Linked DNA regions of Saccharomyces cerevisiae S288C. The gene in region 3 interacts genetically with the main gene of each other region. Each region holds a gene or a part of one and is shown on either strand. Other genes may lie near its edges.

What was found.
Region 1: mutations in MGM101 (region 3) and UBP16 together harm fitness more than expected from each alone (negative genetic interaction), as found in Saccharomyces cerevisiae (one large-scale study listed by BioGRID).
Region 2: mutations in MGM101 (region 3) and OPY1 together harm fitness more than expected from each alone (negative genetic interaction), as found in Saccharomyces cerevisiae (one large-scale study listed by BioGRID).

What each region holds. Positions count from the first base shown.
Region 1 is NC_001148.4:416,044-421,980, reverse strand, and holds UBP16 (putative ubiquitin-specific protease UBP16), read right to left. Parts: upstream 3,470-5,937; coding exon 1,970-3,469; downstream 1-1,969. Other genes in the region: guanine nucleotide exchange factor MUK1, read right to left, coding at 1-1,033; YPL071C (uncharacterized protein), read left to right, coding at 1,463-1,933; putative AAA family ATPase YTA6, read right to left, coding at 3,954-5,937.
Region 2 is NC_001134.8:493,853-497,339, forward strand, and holds OPY1 (Opy1p), read right to left. Parts: upstream 1,488-3,487; coding exon 501-1,487; downstream 1-500. Other genes in the region: ATG14 (Atg14p), read right to left, coding at 1-263; SHE3 (She3p), read right to left, coding at 1,740-3,017; CCZ1 (Ccz1p), read left to right, coding at 3,311-3,487. UniProt on the Saccharomyces cerevisiae protein: Binds phosphatidylinositol 4,5-bisphosphate (PtdIns(4,5)P2/PIP2) at the cell membrane. Negatively regulates the activity of phosphatidylinositol 4-phosphate 5-kinase MSS4.
Region 3 is NC_001142.9:699,041-710,186, reverse strand, and holds MGM101 (Mgm101p), read right to left. Parts: upstream 9,306-11,146; coding exon 8,496-9,305; downstream 1-8,495. Other genes in the region: DAN1 (Dan1p), read left to right, coding at 480-1,376; YJR149W (putative nitronate monooxygenase), read right to left, coding at 1,813-3,027; branched-chain-amino-acid transaminase BAT2, read right to left, coding at 3,313-4,443; HMS2 (Hms2p), read right to left, coding at 4,915-5,991; YJR146W (uncharacterized protein), read right to left, coding at 5,949-6,302; 40S ribosomal protein eS4 RPS4A, read left to right, coding at 7,119-7,132, 7,389-8,160; PMT4 (dolichyl-phosphate-mannose-protein mannosyltransferase), read left to right, coding at 9,573-11,146. UniProt on the Saccharomyces cerevisiae protein: Performs an essential function in the repair of oxidatively damaged mtDNA that is required for the maintenance of the mitochondrial genome. Binds to DNA.

The DNA.
Region 1 (5,937 bases), on a different chromosome or scaffold from region 3:
TCATGATTTCATGTAGTTTCAGTAGGGCCTTTATCTTTTCACATGGTGAAATCGAATGATAAGTAAACTCATATAAAATATCTTTGATCTCTTCAAACTTTGGTTCCGGATCAATGCCATTATTAAGACTCAGAAACTTTATCAAATTGATTTTATTCATTGTTGAGAGTTTGGACAAACAGAGGATTTTTTCATTCAACAACTTATTGTATTCTGTGAATTCAACACTGTTTCTAAATAGATTTCCAACCTTGAAAGTTTGTAATTGGTGTGGTTTGAAGGTTTTCATTTTATTCGGTGAAGATACGGATGTGCCTACTATAAGAATTTTCTTAAAAACATCTCTTTCACAAAGTTCCATATATTTTTCGATTTTCATGTTGTTTAATTCGTTGATTTTCAATTGCTTTTTTATCTCTTCAGGTGACAACATTTGTGTGGCATTAGTTGAATTTGATATTGACTCATTACTGAAAAGCGATGAAGATCTTCTTGGCCTCATAAGTGAATTTCCACTACTACTCCTACTTCTGCCAAAAATTCCGCTAAGACCACTACTTAACGTTTCTTTGGCAGCCAAGAATGAACTAGAGCCCCCGCCAGAAAAATAATAGCCATTATTATTCGCTGAACTGACGTGCTGGAATGATGCTTTATCAAATTTTATGTAAAAGCTTTGGAAAAGACTAGACAATTGCAGTACTGATAGTGGCCGTACGTACTTTGGCTGCTTTAGGTCATCAATAAAAATGTCAATTAATTTTGATAATTCTGGAGGTAAATTGGTGACAGTGTTCAACGCTTCGTCAATTTCTTGTTTTGTCAATATAGGAGACTTATTGTTTTCTAGCCTTTCTCCTGTTGTAGAGTTTTCATCACCATCACAGCTACTTCTCTCATTGTCATTTTGATCCTCATGTAGATTTTGTTGAAATTGCATGCCGCCAGTTGTGTTCTTGTATGATTCCCTGATGGATTGATTAGGGTCAAACCTTGGATTGGTTATCGGAGGAGTGAATAATTGTCTAGCCATTTGACTTTTATTGTTAGAGGGCGTACTTCTTTTTTATCTGCTCTTCTTCTTGGCTTCTAAAAATACCTTTTGCTCTAAGGGGAATGATGATTTTATGAGTGTCTATAAAGCCAATTCTCTTTCTGCCCAAGATATTAAACACCACACCAATCCGAACAAAATTCAATAGACGAACAACAGTAAGTTTTAATCTATTTTTGCTTCAATGATGCGTTTGGTTGGGTCTTTACTGGAAATCAAATAAGGCTCGGTTATTTGCACACTTTTTTATCCGGGAACCGCTCTTTTACGAAAGCAAATTTCAAAATGTATGTAATACGAAGGCATTAAATTATTCAACAACGGCGCTCGGATATGATTTATATTACACGTCTAGAACGATTAGCAGATAGTAAAACTAGTGGCACGTTTAAATGACTTTTTCATTCCATGAGTTCCCGGTTTGCAAGAAGTAATGGCAATCCCAACCACATTAGGAAAAGAAATCATTCTCCAGACCCAATAGGAATTGATAATTATAAAAGAAAAAGACTAATTATAGATTTAGAGAATTTATCCTTAAATGATAAAGGGCCCAAGAACGGACATGCAGATGATAACAATCTTATTCATAACAATATAGTATTCACAGACGCTATTGATGATAAGGTCCTGAAAGAGATCATCAAGTGTTCCACAAGTAAACGCGGCGACAATGACTTGTTTTATGACAAAATATGGGAACGTTTGAGAGAAAAAAGGCTACAAATAATAAAATGGGTAGATTATAAGGAAATTGCTTATCTAAGCTGGTGGAAGTGGTTCCATAATCAAATGACTTCGAAATACACTTATGATGGAGAGGCTGATACCGATGTTGAAATGATGGCAGTGGATACTGATGTGGATATGGATGCGTAACTTACTATTATTATAATATACCTATGTACAGGGCGGTTATTTATTTACACGTTCGTAGTATAGCATATAAGCATATTTCTGTTCATTCAAGACAGTTGAAGCGGTAGATTCCTTTATGGCGGTATCAGATATTTGCCAATAAGGATACCGCAGGGCGTTTTTGACTTTTTTATATCTGCTTTTTTTGTAATCATTATGTGCAACGTTTTGCTCGCGATTCTTGTTAACTTCATTGTTGACAACTGGTGCTCTTCTGAAGGAAGATTCATCCTCCTTCCCGAAACGAATTTCAGTCTTGCGTCTGTAACACATATAGTGTCCACTCGAATGAGAACCGGTGTGTTTCACAACACTTTTCAAATTATATTTGACTTGCCTGTTTTCTGTTATTGTCCCACTCTCAGCCAATGTATATTCAGAAAGTGTTATTCTTTCTCCAAATTTGACATTGCAGGGATTTCTAGAATATGTAATACCATTGAATGTGGATCTCGATAAGTGAACAATTAATATGTCTGGCAGTTGTACTACTACATCTTTTTTGATGACCTTTCCCTTTATATTAGATACCTGCAAATTGCCCTTTGAGTAACGCTTGACGTACTGTTCTACTTCGAATGGTAAATTTTCGTTAATTGGGGCTTTAGTGGCATAATTTTTCAATCTGTCCAACATTAAAATTTCATCCGGGGTACAGTCCTTGAAATTTCTATATTCTTCATGGTTTAAGATTGCTCTTATTTGGCAGATCAGGCATGAATAGTCGTCTATGATTTCTGTTTCATCGTGTGCTAGAATATTGGATAGATTCTCTGATGTTTGTTGTGGTACGGACAGTTCGCGGATGAAAGTCTGTTTGTATGATGGTTCTGATAGACCCTTGCATTTAAGGCATACTAGAAACTTGGAAGTCTCGCCCTCAAATGGAAACTTTGGTATATTCAAATTACATATCTGTTTACTGTAATCGATCAATTTTGATCGTTCTTCCTGTAATGTTTGTAGTAATATTAATGTAAATTCATGTGCATCATTTTGTTTGGATGAGATCTTTGATTTAAAGATGGACTCTAATGTGTTTATCACTATTTTCGGAGAAATTGACGTCTTACGATCTTTTACAGATATCAAATCCAAAATTAAACTGGTAAGACTTTCGTGTAAGGGGGCAAGTGAATTAGACGAGTTTTCAAGTCGACTATGCCTTGTAGTGTTATCAACTGTAGGATTGTCGCCTTTTGCATTATTTGACAGCTTAGTTTCTAATTCTAGAAGGACCGTTCTTATCCGTTTCAAATATTCTACAAATCGAGGTATTCCAGCCAGGCCTTGCAAAGATGATGTTATGAAGCAATCATTCCCACGATTAATTAAGCCCACTGTCGTGTACTTCCCAATACTCTGCTTAGAATCCCCAAAGACTAGCGCACTTAGGCTGGGTGCAATGGCATATAGAGAAGCAGCAATTATCAAACCACATGAAACTTTTTTAATCAGTGAAGTCGGAGATTCTGTTACATTTTTTATCCAAGACATATTGTGCTTGTAGTAACTGCTGTACCTTGCATATACTGTTTGGGCAGAAGGAGAAGGTCCAATTAGTTGTTGGAGGGTATGGCGCTAACGGTCAAGTGTTTTATAGCTGGACTTTGCTTTCCCATTAACTCAAACGTGTATATAAATTGAGATTGAAGAAGAAACTTTGAATCTAGGTTAACTGGGTGCTATTGATTTATTTTTTTTATTTCACCCAAGTATATTATTTTGTTTTCTTTTTTTATTTCATTTTTTTGGGGCCAATATAGTAAGCAAAAATCCGGAGAACTGTATTGAATATCGTTCTGAGAAAACTAATTGTAAATAAGAAAGAAAAATATCAAATCATAAGGGAACCGAAGTTAGTTTTTCTTTGATAATACATAGAAAGTACATAGGTAATAAAATTAGATCAGAAGCAAGAAGTTGAAAGGGGAAAATTCCTTCTCATACCTTTCTTTGCCATTAAGACGCTCCCTCTCGTTCAGGAACCATTACTACCGAATTTACTAGACCACTCCTCATATTTTTGTAGAGATTCTGACGACACGCTCTTTTTTATTGTCAACAGAGCATTCTGAAAATCTTTTATTTCAATTCCTCTGATTTTATCAAAATCCGCAAACATCAACTTATCTCCTAAATCTCTAATAGGTTCCATTGCCGCTTCTTTGGCTAATGACGTAAGATCAGAACCAGAAAACCCCTCGGTCATTTCTGTTATTAATTCATAGTCTAAATCTTGCAGGCTATTTTTCTGCTTGGCCATTAATCTCTTCAAATGATATAGTCTAGTTTCATAATCTGGTAAAGGAATGTATAGTTTCCGTGAAAATCGTCTTCTTGCTGCATCATCAATCGCCCATGGCAAATTCGTTGCTCCTAAGACAAGTACTCTGCTGTCAAGCGTATTATTTCGGTCTTCCGATTGTGCAGTAGCACTAGATAGGGAGGACCACTGAATAAGAAGTTCTGTTTTAATTCTCCTCGAGGACTCATTTTCATTATCAGAGCGAGCTGTTAACATAGAGTCAATCTCATCTATGAAAATAATTGAGGGTGACAATTTTTTGGCCATGTAAAACAATGCTCTAACCAGCTTCTCAGATTCACCGAGGTATTTCGATAGCAAAGAAGATGCACTTACACTAAAAAATGTGGAATTGGACTCTGTCGCAACCGCCTTAGCAATCATTGTCTTACCTGTACCTGGTGGGCCGAACAAAAGCATACCTCTAACAGGTTCTCTTAGCCCTTTGAATAAGTCAGGCCGCAGAAATGGGTAAACCACTGCTTCTTTCAAAGAATTCTTCGCATTCCGTAAGCCTGCGATATCCTCCCAATAAACTTTTTCATCCGTAACAAGAATTTCATTAAGTATCTGTTCACAAGCGTTTCGATCTACTCCCTGCACTGATTTTAATATATCCTCCTTTCTGGAATCGAGGGATGAACTAGCAGAGCTTTCCTTATCGGGTGTACCACTTTTAGAACGCATGGGTTTGGATTCAGCAGGTACCGCTGTCGCTGAAACGAGTACTGGTGAACTAGGCTCCAAATTTTGCTCATTCCTACGAGAAACTTTGTTAGTATTGGATTTACTAGCCTTCAGCTTGCTATTTGTGGGTATATTCCGTGAAGACTTGCTGTTTTGCCTGTTAAGAGTAGGTGATTTTATAATCGGTCGATTAACTGTTGGCTTTTTGTAGTCATACCTTTTTTTCAAAGGTGGTGTTGGCTTATAACGTATCTGAAGTTCATTTGAATGCGATCCGTTGTTACTCACTTTTGAATGATTTGCCCCGTTTTGATACTGAGACCAGGCTAACTGCGCAGCCATACCTATTTCTGCTGCCTCCATTGATTTTCTTACTGGCGTTCGTACTCTTTCGCCTGAAGTCCGTACAACGTCAAGTGATCTTCTTTTAATTAGGGAGTTGTCAATCTTTCCAGAAGATTTGCTACTGGAAGAGAAGTTGTCGAGGCTAGCCCTTGATTTGTAATTTGTTTTCCTCTCATGTTTCAGGGTTGATATACGTTTTTTCTCCGCTTGTTCTCTATGTTTGCGTTCTTCTTCCTCTCTCTTAACTCTCTCCTCCTCCAACTTTTGGGCCACTTCAAATTCGACCTTTTCTTTAACCTTTAACTCGATCAATTTTTCCCTTTGAAGTTCTAAGTCCCTCTCATACTGAAGTTTTGCTCCTAACTTTTTCTCTTCTTCTAATTTCCTAGCACGTCTGATATTATCAGCCTGTTTGTTGATTTTAGCCTCCTTTTCGTCAGCTTCTTTCAATTTATCTCTTTTGGAACCCATTCTCCAAAGTTTTGGAAAACGCAAACCATTTCCTGTCCCAAGGCCCAAAACGGAAGAGGAGGATGACAAAGAGGGACTACCGTTTCCTTCGGCCATAAGCGTTTCTGCTTTACGACGTGCGATCCTTATATCCTGGCCAAGAATTTGGAAATCC
Region 2 (3,487 bases), on a different chromosome or scaffold from region 3:
TTATTCTTTTTCATTCGTAAAACATCTAACTTCATGAGACTATTCATCAGGGGATCTTTCTTTTTCTCCATCCTCTTGATATCTAACTGGTCATAGTTCATGGCCTCGTTTAATATTTGTTCGACTTTCCCGTTAAGTTCTTTATTCTCATCCTTTAATAAAATTAAATCTAGTTTTAGCTTCAGTAGCAGACTTGGGCTCGTATTGATACAATGTGCACAGTACACTACATGCGCTCTATGGTGGCAAATTGGGCAATGCATGTCATACTAGGATTCTAGTTTTTAACTTTTACTTCCCTTTTTCTCTACTCGTTATCCTTCTAATCACTTTTGTATTTGGTCCTTTCCCTTAATTTTCAGCGAGGAAAAAAGTGCTTATTATCATTAAAATACAAATAAATAAATAGTTTTTTAACTAGACGTAAGGAAAACAATTACACGTATTATTTAATAGTACAAAGAAAAAAAAAGTCAATACATATTCATCATTGGCATTGCTTATATATTTTCGGCCTTTAATTTTTTTCTTATCAAAATTCCACTCTTGAAATTTATTATCCAATCCACCATATCTTGATCGTTAGCGGCTTTAAAAGATAACCTTTCATCAAATGTAATTAGCGCAAAATTAGTGTCGTCATTTTTCATCTTCGAATTATTATCAAGTTCAATACAATCGATAATTTTATCCAATTTAATGCTTTTCTTTAACTTCCCAGTCTTGAAAGAGTATAAATTGAACGAAGTATTAGTCAATTCCACATTGAACTTTTGCCATTTAGCCCTATTGAACAGTTTCTTCTTTTTCACTTTTGTGTAAAGAATCCCAGAACAAACCTGGTGCTCTGCATTTCTTGGATCGAACATCCTATAAAATTCTTTATCTTCACGAGACAGTTGCTCATCCATCGTCAAACTGCAAGAATGCTTGCTGCTAGAAGGACCCGCCTTTTCGTCAACTACAATTAAATCATCATCATCCTCTTCTTCATCATAATCACTACCTGTAGTGACACTTTCGTTGCCACTAGGACTAGAGAGGAATTTTTCAAGGGCAATTTTCCAATTATGCATCAGTTCCATACCAACCTTCTCATTTTGCCCTCGTGGAAATTTGAATATTAAATCCTTGGATGGAGTATAAACAGTTAATATACCATCGAGCTCGCTTATCTTAAAATTAAGTATGTCAAATCTCGGTATGACACTTATAGCCTCTCTTTCATCCCGAGTTTTGTAATAGGCAAATTGGTTTTTCCTCAAGACACACCAATATTGATGGTCTGTTGTCCGAGGCCACCATAAATGACGATGGTGATGATGGTGATGATGGTAACCCTGCGGTGCACCATCAGCAGCTCCATTGTTACCTGAACTGGATTGAGCTGTCGGCGTTTTATTTTGAGACGTTGATGGCTTCTTGATGAGATTCGATGCGATCAAAATTTCATGCTGACTTGACGGAGCAGTCGCACCTGCTATCATTGGTCTTATGAAATTTACCAAGGCAAAATTAGCGTAATTATTTATGGTTAATTCACCTACTGGCTACTATTGCGTACCACATTTTGGCCTGTTCGTTTAATTTCAGCCACATTATAGTAGAGAAAAAACCGTTGTGAGTGACCGAAAGTGAAAAATATGGATTCGTGTCTATAAAACCTTAGAGGCATCTATTTACTTTTGTTCTATTATCTAAATGAATCCTATATATATACTCCCTTGTGTCGGCATATTCTAGGATTGGGCCCCGTGAACAACCATACTATTTCCCTTTTTCTTATGAGTGGAGGAAACAGTTCTTGTAACACCGGGAGGCACTGAGATTGTGGGAGATGTACTTGGATCGTTATTATGCGTTACATTTGTTTTACTACTGCTCGAGCTTGGTTTTCTTACTGAGGCAGTTCTTTTAACACCAGGCAAAACCGGGGATGCAGATTTTGGAATAGAACCCGATGACAGCAAAGGCGACGCAGTATAGAAACTTCTTCTTTTATTGTTACTGCTATTACCATTGGAGGATGAATCGTTTGTGTTCGGCGTCTTTCTTAATTTGACCATCTTAATAGGAAGCATATCCTGTGCATTATTGCTACTCAAAGCGTCAGCGTTGTTGCTTTCCACCTGGGTTTGTACATTCTTCTTCAAGGTTTGTACTACCGCGCCTTTATTACTAATCTTCTCATCGTTTCTTTTCAAGACGTCTTTCAAATCCATCTTTTCAGCAAAAGTTGATATCAGATTTTCGTTCGTCTGGTACAGATTTAGCCAGCTTTGTAGATTTAACTCATCTAAAGAGTGAGTGATTATCTTGCTTAATTTTGAATCCTTTTCTGTTTCCAGAGATTTCAAATCTTTCACAGAGTCATTGAATTTATTTAAATTCAATTCTATATCTGAATTTGAACTAGTATCTGAACCATAATTTAAATTTTGATTACTTAACTCTAACTCCAACAAACCGATTTTTTCATTTAATTTGGAAATTTCATCAGAATAGTGGTCTCTGTAAAGATTTTGTGACTCCAATAATGAATTATAGTTAACTTCCATATTTTGCAATTTTTCAGAGCAAGATTGTTCAATGGCACTAGAATTTTTCGCCAATTTACTCAATTGATCCATTTTCTCCTTTTGTTCATTGTAACGGTTACTCAATTCGCTATAATCTTTCTCTAGCTCTTTTAGCTTCTTGTTCTTTCTTTCAAATATCGAGTTGAGATTTTCGTTCTCGTTCTTCAGCAGATTTAAATTTTCCAGTAGTTTTGATTCTTTGGATTGTGCTAATTCCAATTTACTCAATAAATTTTGAGATTGCGTAGTCAATTGTAGATTTGTTTTTGTCAGCATATCAATCTGGTCATGCAGTGATTCAATGACTCTCGAAGATGAGGCATTTTGGCTGGAGGTATTTCTATCTTTTGTGGGGGAACTTTCCAAGTTTGCCATAAAAATATTATGGTGAGGTGCCAACTTGCTTGAAGAAGTCTGGGTATTATCCTGGTCCGACATCTTACACAAAAGTAGTGTCGTTGAACCTTGGCGTGCTTGATAGACGAGCTAACGTTTGGTAACCCCTTCAGACTGCTGCTACTCATGGCAACAAATCAATAAACAAAATGCAATAGTAGTTAGTAATGAAGCTCTCGCCCGAACAAAAGACGAAACGAGCGGGTAACTATTTAGCCTATTTTATTGCGATGACAATAATATGTAGTAGCAATAGGGAAATAGTTTCATTTGACGTGGAACCAAAAATACATTCTAAATCGTACAACTATTAAATTGATATATGAAAGACGGATATGAGACTACACTATATTACGGTTTTTGATCCATCAAGATCTACCAACGAAAATGACACTTTCAAGCAGTTGCTGCTGTTCCATTATTTTGGCACTACTGATTCAATACCCTCTTTAAACGAAAAACTGTCCATCATAGGAGTAATACAGGGCATTTGGTCACTTACGAGTTCATGC
Region 3 (11,146 bases):
GTTCATATGATGCTATCTCCCGCTTATCTTATTAGTCGAAAATGGGGAGAATTTCCTATTTTATCTGTCGTTTAGCACATATGGCCAGGAAAATACATAAGGTTTCGCCGAACGACGGGGTCAATTCGTCCTTTTTGTACACATCGTTTAATTTATGAGGAAAAATTGATGAATGTATCCTCCGTAGACGCTCCTCTGAAAAGTTTCATGTTTCCTGCGCGTTCCTTTGATAGGCAATAAAACAATACAACGCGTGCCTTTGAAAATGCCAAGATCTATACGAGGCCTCTAACAAAACATCGTTCAGGAACAGAGAATGCTAGAAATGCAAAAGGGTCCCTGGGTACTCATTGAATAGAAATGATTGAAAATACTGCGTATAAAATAGCACGACTAAATGATACTATTTTTATGTCGACACGGTACTATTTCTTCTTTTTCAGATAAAAGTGTAGCATACTAAATATATACCCCAAGTAATGTCTAGAATTAGTATATTAGCTGTCGCCGCAGCATTAGTGGCAAGTGCAACCGCCGCATCCGTGACCACCACTCTATCCCCTTATGATGAAAGGGTCAATTTGATTGAATTGGCTGTTTACGTTTCTGATATTGGCGCCCATTTATCTGAATATTACGCTTTCCAGGCTTTGCATAAGACTGAAACATACCCACCTGAAATTGCCAAGGCTGTTTTTGCCGGTGGCGATTTCACCACCATGTTGACTGGTATTTCAGGTGATGAAGTGACCAGAATGATCACCGGTGTGCCATGGTACTCTACTAGATTGATGGGTGCTATTTCCGAAGCACTTGCGAATGAAGGTATTGCTACTGCAGTACCAGCTTCTACCACAGAGGCTTCTTCCACCTCCACTTCAGAAGCTTCTAGTGCCGCCACTGAGTCTTCTAGCTCCTCTGAAAGTTCAGCAGAGACCAGCTCAAACGCTGCTTCCACCCAAGCTACTGTTTCATCTGAATCTAGCTCTGCTGCAAGCACCATTGCAAGTTCTGCTGAAAGTTCTGTTGCAAGCTCTGTTGCAAGCTCTGTTGCAAGCTCTGCTAGTTTTGCCAATACCACAGCTCCAGTTTCTTCTACATCTTCTATCTCAGTCACTCCAGTGGTCCAAAATGGTACTGACAGCACCGTCACAAAGACTCAAGCTTCCACTGTTGAAACTACCATAACTAGTTGTTCAAATAACGTCTGTTCAACTGTGACTAAGCCAGTCTCCTCCAAAGCTCAATCTACAGCTACTTCTGTCACATCGTCAGCATCTCGTGTTATTGACGTTACCACTAACGGTGCTAACAAGTTCAATAACGGTGTTTTCGGTGCCGCTGCTATTGCTGGTGCCGCCGCTCTATTGTTATAGTGATCATGTGCGGCCCTGTACAGTTGTATAAATGATGTAAAATAATTGAATTCTCTTAATTTTAATATTTATAAGATATATACTATAAGCGTAAGGAAATTCCAAAGAAATTTGTTTTTTAGTTTGCAGTCTTGTGCTCCAACTATTTCCGGTCCTTTTCGAATTTCATGTCAGGAGCATTCCTTATTGCAGACAGCTTAACAGAAAAAAAACTGTGAAAAAAATAAATACCTTTAGATATTAAAGCCCTAAATTGATATCAAATTTTTTCCATATTTGGATTTTGTATTCCTTAAAGCCCACATCCTGTGAACGGTTACGCTCAAATAATGGCCAAGTAACCTACGATCCAATAGCGACGTATATATATCATATAGAAAAAGGTCATCCAGAAAATTTGTGTCAATAAGTATCAGGTCTTTTATATGTATTTATATTATTTTCCGTCAATTTTCAATCTTGCGCCCATAGTTTCAATTTTCTTGTCTGTTGTGATTCCTGATTGGACATTCTGAAATCCTTGTCCAGCTAAAATAAAGTTAGCCAATTCTGGATACTTTTTTCTTACTTGCTTGAAAGCACTATACATGTAGCCATATGGAGGAAGCTCCTCACCTTGAAAATTAGCAATGACTTTTTCGATAAAAGGAGTAGAGATGGTCCTTGCAGGCTTTCCTGATATTATATTAACCATTTTAGTTGTTGTTTCTCGAGTGAAGGGGCTTGAAAAGTTTTTTGATGCATTGGATTCACTGCAACCAAGAAAAGCAGTCCCCACTTGAACAGCGTCTGCTTGCTGTGATAACATGTATGATATATCTTTGGAATCCATTATACCACCTGCTGCAATGACAAAGGGAGTAGCATGTATAAGACCTTTATTTTTCATTTCAGCAAGTTCATCAACTGTTCTTTTCACCAATTGTACAGTTGATAAGTTTTCATCATCTTTGGGGTCATTTACTAAGAAATTTCCTCTATGTCCTCCCGCTTCATAGCCTTGACACACTATGCCATTAATGCCGAGACGTGCTAACAATCGAACTTCTCTTACAGAGGTGGCAGTCACAAAAATTAGAATTCCAATTTTTTGTAAATATTCTATTGTAGATTTCGACGGATGGCCAAAATGGAAACTAATGATTTTAGGCCTAAAGCCATCTGATAGGTACTGGAAAAAATCTTGAAGAGCATTTTCTTTTTCAAATGCCTTAAAAGATACATTACCATTATCGAATTTAATCTCATTCATATCAATCGGCACATTCATAGACTTTCTGTATAGCTTCGCCCAGTTAGCTGTTTGAAGATCGGTCGGTTTATCAACGATATCATGGCAAAAAAAGTTTAGGTTGAGATTGCCCTCTAAAGATTCATCGGCTACTTGATCTCTGAATTGTGAAACCATCAGTTTAAGCTTTTCAATATCATTGACCTTTCTGAAGTCTAAGTGGGATAGGGGTAGTGAAGCTATGGCGCCCGCAATACAAGCCTTAGCGGCCATTTCAATAGTCGTGACCCCCGCCATAGGGGCCTGGATGATAGGGTATCTCAAGTTTAAACATTTTTGGAAAGATCTGCTCATATCTTCTCTTTTATCCACCGACATTACGGAAACGTCTTGAAATATTAGTTGGTTTAAAAAGTACATGAATTGTCTTGAGTTGCTTCTAAGGTATGTATGGGCCCTTTTCTATCCGCGCAAAAGATGTCCTTGATACCGATAGGCCAGCACTAGATGACAAGAAAAAAAACGAAAGGATAATTGCAGGTTTCGACATACATTTTTTATCAGATCACTGCAAAATCCAGGAATTCATATATACAATGTCAAAGGGTATGTTATATTCTGACATGACCCCTTAACTCAGTAGAAAAAACGCTCTAGTTTTATTCTTTTTAACTTTTAATTACTTTACGTAGCAATAGCGATACTTCAGTTCAAATCAGTAACAACCCTTGACCAATTGCCATGCTCAGTCTCGCCATATTGGATTCCATTAATCCATTGTGCAACTTCTTTGGCCAATGGACCGGTTTGTTCGCCGGGCAACAACGGAATATTAATTTGTTCGCCTTTCCAGCCGATTTCCTTAATGGGAGAAACAATCGCAGCAGTACCAGAACCAAAGGCTTCAAGTAGTTCACCGTTCTTGGATCTCTCAGTAACTTCGCCTATAGTGAAGTAGCGTTCACTAATGGTCCATTCACTTGGTTCGAGTCTTTCTTTAGCAAGATTTAAAATGGAATCCCTAGTAACACCTTCCAAAATGGTACCGTCTAGTGGAGCAGTAACTAGTTCCTTCTTGCCCGTTTTACTATCTTTAAACACGAAAAAAGCATTCATGGTGCCGACTTCAGTAATGTTGTTATTTGGACCAAATAGCCATAAATTTTGTTGGTAACCCCTTGAAGCAGCTTGCAATTGTGGCAGGACGCAGGGGGCGTAGTTTGCACCTAGTTTCTTGTCACCACAGCCTCCTGGCCAAGCTCTTGTGGCATAATCAGTGGCTTCCAGTCTGACCGCCTTAAATCCAGTTTTGTAATAAGGACCCACAGGGCAGCAAATGACATATAGCAAGGCTCTATCAGGCGTGGAAACCCCTAAACCGGCCGTAGTGCCGATTAATGTAGGCCTGATATATAAAGAGTAACCTTTTCCTTCAGGAACTAAGCACTTATCTTGCTGGATCAGTTTCCCAATTAGGGTAATCAACTCTTCTGGGTCGAACGTTGGCAAACAGATTCTCTGAGCAGACTTATTCATGCGCTTCATATTCATATCTGGACGAAACATTGTAATTTTGTTGTCCACCGTTCTGTAAGCCTTCATCCCTTCGAATAGCTCAAAAGCATAATGGAAAACCACCGCGGAAGGGTCTAAAGACAGATTTTGATAAGGTTTAATCTCTGGGGTACCCCACCCTTTTTCAGCTGTCCATTCCGCAGTTAACATGTGGTCCGTGAAGCTCTTGCCAAACACTAACTCACTGTTCGGTTTTGGCTTAGATGCATGTTGTGTGGTAGTTATCTTAACTTTGGAGGCGTCTAGGGGTGCCAAGGTCATATCGTTCTTAAAACTCGTGGAGATGCTTTCCCTTAAATTTCTAAAATTTTAGTAGTTAGTCTGTTTTTATTAAGGATTTCTCAAAGGAATGAATTTTTTCCCAGGAAATAGTCGAATATCTTGTAAGCTTATATTAGTTATACTGTCAGCTCATTTCGGATCTCCTCTCACTCACGTACGGCTCTTAATTTCTACCTATTATTTCCGTTTTTGTTGACAGAAAAACGGACATAGAAGAACGACACCAAAAAGAAAAAGAGTCGGATCTACAGATTAGATAACAAGAGGTGTCAGAGAGGGAAAAGAAGCTAAATTAAGTGTCACCCGAAAGCGGAAAAAGAACGCCGTTTGCAAGAATGGTTCCGGGGCCAATGGAACATTAAACTTTGGTGTAGTGCGGTCACAGAAAAAAAAAATCGTACACGTATATAGTGGTATGCTAGGTCGTGAATGACCCTCAGAGGCAGGTTTTCACGTTCGAAGATGTTTGGAAAGGAGCGTTATAAGTTGTGTTGGGGTGAAGGGGCTAACTAGGATGTCACTGAACCCCAACTGCAAAAAATGGTGGAAATAATAGCGAGAGTAGTTGGAGGGAGCAATGCTGGTATCTTGAGGGGAGACGGGTCTGTTAATAATGGCTATTACAGGAAAGCTTGGGAGTAGGTTTCTCAGTCTCTTGAAGTAGATGAGATGTTCTTGTTGCATGTTGGGCGACACGGTGACGAAAAGAAGGTCGTATGCCTCGGGATGCAACTGCGGGTGCCACTGAGTGGCCGTATCCAAAGAGCAGTTCATAAATTCGAACACGCCGGCGAAGCGCATCAAAGGTGTTTCTGACAATTCGGATGCGTTTGGTATTAGTAACAGCAACGAGTAGCGTTTGGGGCGCTTTGGTTGGCGTTGCTGGTGTTGTAGACAAGAGTCCGGGCATACAACCTTTTTGATGGCTTCAAAATTTTCTTGAAGGAAGTTAGCGGTTTGGTAGGCGTGAAACTGGTGGTAGGAGATTGTCTGTAAGCTGGCGTTAATTTCCCTTATAATACGCAGACTATCTGCGTTTGTCGACTTAAGCTCATCAAGATTGCCCTGAAGCCTGTCAACATTTTTCACTAATTTCTCGAAGGAAGGCTTGCCGATGGCCTTGCTTAGAATGGAGTTCACTTTGAAAGGGTCCCAGTGAAAAGTACACTGCTTATTCATATTATTGACGGCGGCGACATTGGGAGTGGCGGCAGACTGATGAGCTTTAACCAGTGAGAGGCTATTAATGTTATCTTTTTGAAAATGAATGTTGGAAAACTCCACGCAGTCCGGGCGGCCCGCCTTCTGGAAGTTATATTTGCTCAATTGCTTAACGAATGCTGCAAAGGTGTGAATACCAAAAAATCGCTCTAGGATGACTTTGGTGAACTGGTCCGGATTCCAAATGACGAGCTTGCTGCCATCAGTCGACCATTGTATTATGTTCGAGTAAGCGTTCCCCTGCAGCAGGTGGTAGAGTTTGCTTACAAAGACATCAGGCTGCTCCATCCTCGATGTTGCATCCATGTCTGACGTGCGTCGCTACACGAAAGAGACACACTTGGCGACTGCCCTGACTGGCAATATATACAGTCCGCAAATGTCGCGGACTGATGCGTCCACTTACTCTTCCTATATACCACCTGGGTGAAGAGGAGAAGTGAGCCCGTTCTGGAGATATATGTCCAAATATTTGCAGATCCAGTTTTGTCATTATAATGAGATGCCTTTTGGGCGACAAAGTTCGGGTAAAAGAAGGACGGGTCCAGGAAGGCCGTGGCCACAGAACAATGCGCAGAGAAGATTTCCGGTTTCTTTTTGGCTTTTCCGACTTTCATCTTTTAGAACTAAAGATTTCCTGCATCGGTAAACCTTAGCAATGTTTCTCTAGAGGGTTTTTGCACACCAGACACGTCGCACGTGCTCTTGCAGAGACTGCTGCGCTTTCGTTTACACTCAGATAACATAGTCTAGCTAGCTTGCTGTCGTTCGGCACGAGATCTAATCCTTCTCCTGGCCTACCGTCTGTGCAACCATTAGTCATGATTACGTGTGTTGCGCCTTATCTTGTCATTATGGCAGCATACTTTTCGTAGTCCTTTCCTGCGCAGCTTGTCCATTTTCGTCATTACGTAAAAAGTCCTAATGGAGAGCTGGGTACTGCATTTTTTCGATGTTTTCAATATTCAGTTCAGCAGGAAATAAACAAATAAACAAACATTAAAATATCCTGGTTTTTTTTCCCAGAGACGCGTGGAAGCACCCATGCATCCACTATTTATTTTTAAACAGCCGTACATTCTGTAATTTTGCTTCCTTTTTCTTCCTGCGTTCTTTTTTTCTTGAACTGTCGTTTTCCGTTATTTTTTTCGGTGACATCAGTTGAAAGTAGCAGCGGCCTAGGCCGGGAGGCCGTGTAGCTCTTTGTAGTCGTGGTAAGGGGGAGTAGCAATTCACTTAGTACGTGGTCTTGGAGTTAGGCTGGCTCGGACTGGCCCTGGCAAGTCCTGTTCTGTGTGGTAGTATTGAAATTTCAGAGATTGTCGGCAATACTAGTATATTAAAAATTATACTATAATTTAATCTAGTGTTGAAATACTTTCTTATATAGCGATTTTTCTGCCCAAAACAAACCAAAGAATCAATACGCAAAGATGGCTAGAGGACCGTATGTTTGACTATAGACTTTGATTATAATTACGCAAGGATGAGAAGAATGATAGACAAGAAACAAGTGGAGTCTTAACCAAACGAATAGGAACAACAATGAACCAGTTTATGTCCATTTAATTTTAGATCATCCTGGGATTGTACAAATATTTTACGAGTAATGATTTACTAACGAGCACAATGAAAAAAATAAAATGTCTGTATCTTCATTATACATTCATTTTTGCCCTTTTTTCTCATTTTTTTCCGTACAGAAAGAAGCATCTAAAAAGATTAGCAGCTCCACACCACTGGTTATTGGACAAGTTGTCCGGTTGTTACGCCCCAAGACCATCTGCTGGTCCACACAAATTGCGTGAATCCTTGCCATTGATTGTCTTTCTAAGAAACAGATTAAAGTATGCTTTGAACGGCCGTGAAGTCAAGGCTATCTTGATGCAACGTCACGTTAAAGTGGACGGTAAGGTTAGAACCGACACTACCTACCCAGCTGGTTTCATGGATGTCATCACTCTAGATGCCACCAATGAAAACTTCAGATTGGTCTACGATGTCAAGGGTAGATTCGCTGTCCACCGTATCACCGATGAAGAAGCTTCTTACAAGTTGGGTAAGGTCAAGAAGGTTCAATTAGGTAAGAAGGGTGTTCCATACGTTGTTACCCACGATGGTAGAACTATCAGATACCCAGACCCAAACATCAAGGTCAATGACACTGTTAAGATCGACTTGGCCTCTGGTAAGATTACTGATTTCATCAAGTTCGATGCCGGTAAGTTGGTTTACGTTACTGGTGGTCGTAACTTGGGTCGTATCGGTACTATCGTTCACAAGGAAAGACACGATGGTGGTTTCGATTTAGTTCACATCAAGGACTCCTTGGACAACACTTTCGTCACTAGATTGAACAATGTCTTCGTCATCGGTGAACAAGGTAAGCCTTACATTTCTTTGCCAAAGGGTAAGGGTATCAAGTTGTCTATTGCTGAAGAACGTGACAGAAGAAGAGCTCAACAAGGTTTATAAATTTCATAACAACTTAATTATTTTCTTCTTTTGTATATCTCCATTAATGTTTATTAGAAATTGAATTTTAAAATAATACATCGTATCTTCCTTTTTCGACTGGCAGTAATATAACGTATAATATATATATTAGGTGTGTGTATATATATCCGTATTGTAATATTGATAGTAAAAATACGCTAACCCTGAAATAGAAGGCGTATGATAAGACGTACTGACACTACGCACTACCACAATATATGCGTATGTGTGTGTGTGTGTGTGTGTGTGTGTGTGTGTGATTGTATTGGAATATATATACTTACTAAAATTAGCTTATATGGTTCGCATATTGACTATTTATAAGGATATTCAACTTGTCTGTCCTTTCTTAACCAAATTTTCTTCTTTCTCTTGGTGGTAACATGTTCCACAAACTTCTCAGTACAATGATCCACTTTGAATTTCTTTATGAAAACAGGGTCCCATAATTCAGAACCGACGCCGAGATCTTTGCAACACCTCATTAATGCATTACTTTTGCAACCTTCTGTAGCAGTTGGTATGCCGGCTTCGTTGAAATAGTCTTGTTCGCCTCTTGCCACACTGATCAATTGACCATGGCAAATAAGACCGTACTCCCTAGTGACCAGCTTGGATGTCACTATTGTTTGTGATCTTGGCACTAGCCCCCAACCGCCTGCGCCAAAAGCTTTGTTCAGTATTCTACGGTATTTAATTTCAGGCAAGTATATCAAACCATCTGGCTTGATTTCTATATCCTTAGGGTCCAGAGGCTCGATTAGATCCTTTTGCACTTTTGCTTCAAAGGGCTTCATACCTAGGCCATACCATGAAGTATACCAGTCAATGTCTCCCTTGACTTGCTTATAACTATTGTTCAAAGAATCATCGGCGGTGCTGCGGGTTTCCAAAGGGGTCCCGCCGAGTTTAGAGTTAATGCCGCTTGAATATTCCTTCATGTGGCTTCCATTGCCAGCTTCCGATTTTGTTGCAAATACAGGCTTGGTTTCGGTACTGTTGAAACTTTTCCTCACTGCACCGGCTGTTGCGGTGTTACTAGTGCCGGTACTCACCACGGTTCTTTTTTGGCAAAATTGAGCAGCATGCGATACACATCCTCTAACCTTGAAAATGCTTTTCATCGTACGCTGATCTTCCTACTTGTCCTTTCTTTCCTTTTTTAGTCTCTACCGTCTTTTTAAATAGTTTCTTCCATTATTCTGTCGATAAATTTCGTGATGTTATTCGTGTATTTCTTGACAAAAAAAATAAAAAATGAAAAATATGCATAATGAAACGCGCTTTATCAAAACTACTCACTCGAATCCTTACTTCTATATTAACTGTACTAAGAAGTTTGTCGATACATATTTTACCAAGATATTTTCTGACAGTCCACAGAAGTACAGATGTCTGTGCCCAAAAAACGTAACCATGGGAAGTTACCACCTTCCACTAAGGACGTAGACGATCCTTCGTTGAAGTACACGAAGGCCGCGCCTAAATGTGAACAAGTTGCTGAACATTGGCTCTTGCAGCCACTACCGGAACCGGAATCACGTTATAGCTTTTGGGTAACAATTGTTACCTTATTAGCGTTTGCTGCTAGATTTTATAAGATCTGGTATCCAAAAGAAGTTGTTTTTGATGAGGTACATTTCGGGAAATTTGCATCGTATTACTTAGAAAGGTCTTATTTCTTTGACGTTCATCCCCCTTTTGCTAAGATGATGATTGCCTTCATTGGTTGGTTATGTGGCTATGATGGTTCCTTTAAGTTTGATGAGATTGGGTATTCTTATGAAACTCATCCAGCTCCATATATCGCGTACCGTTCTTTCAACGCGATATTGGGCACATTGACTGTACCAATTATGTTCAACACTTTGAAGGAACTGAATTTCAGGGCTATTACATGTGCGTTTGCATCTCTCTTGGTTGCAATCGATACTGCGCATGTTACAGAAACTAGGCTGATTTTACTGGATGCCATCTTGATTATTTCTATTGCTGCTACTATGTATTGTTACGTTCGTTTCTACAAGTGCCAATTGCGTCAACCTTTTACATGGAGTTGGTATATTTGGTTACACGCTACTGGTTTGTCTTTATCCTTCGTGATTTCCACAAAATATGTTGGTGTTATGACATATTCCGCTATTGGTTTTGCTGCTGTGGTCAACTTATGGCAATTACTGGACATCAAGGCGGGTTTGTCCTTGAGGCAGTTCATGAGACATTTTAGTAAAAGGCTGAATGGTTTAGTTTTGATTCCATTTGTGATTTACTTGTTTTGGTTCTGGGTTCATTTCACCGTTTTGAATACTTCAGGTCCTGGCGACGCATTTATGTCTGCTGAATTTCAAGAAACACTTAAGGACTCTCCCTTAAGTGTTGACTCTAAAACCGTCAATTATTTTGATATTATCACTATCAAACATCAAGATACTGACGCATTCTTACATTCTCACTTGGCACGTTACCCACAACGGTATGAAGATGGTCGTATCTCATCCGCTGGTCAACAAGTTACTGGTTACACGCATCCTGACTTCAACAATCAATGGGAAGTGTTACCACCCCATGGCAGTGATGTCGGTAAAGGACAAGCTGTTCTATTGAACCAGCATATAAGATTGAGACATGTAGCCACCGATACCTACTTGTTAGCCCATGATGTCGCCTCCCCATTTTACCCTACCAATGAAGAAATCACTACAGTAACTTTAGAAGAAGGTGATGGGGAATTATATCCTGAAACACTTTTTGCATTCCAACCACTGAAAAAATCAGATGAAGGTCACGTTTTAAAGAGTAAAACGGTTTCTTTCCGTCTTTTCCACGTTGATACCTCCGTAGCTTTGTGGACTCACAACGACGAGTTGTTACCGGATTGGGGGTTCCAACAACAAGAAATTAATGGTAACAAAAAAGTTATTGATCCTTCAAATAACTGGGTTGTTGATGAAATTGTTAACCTGGA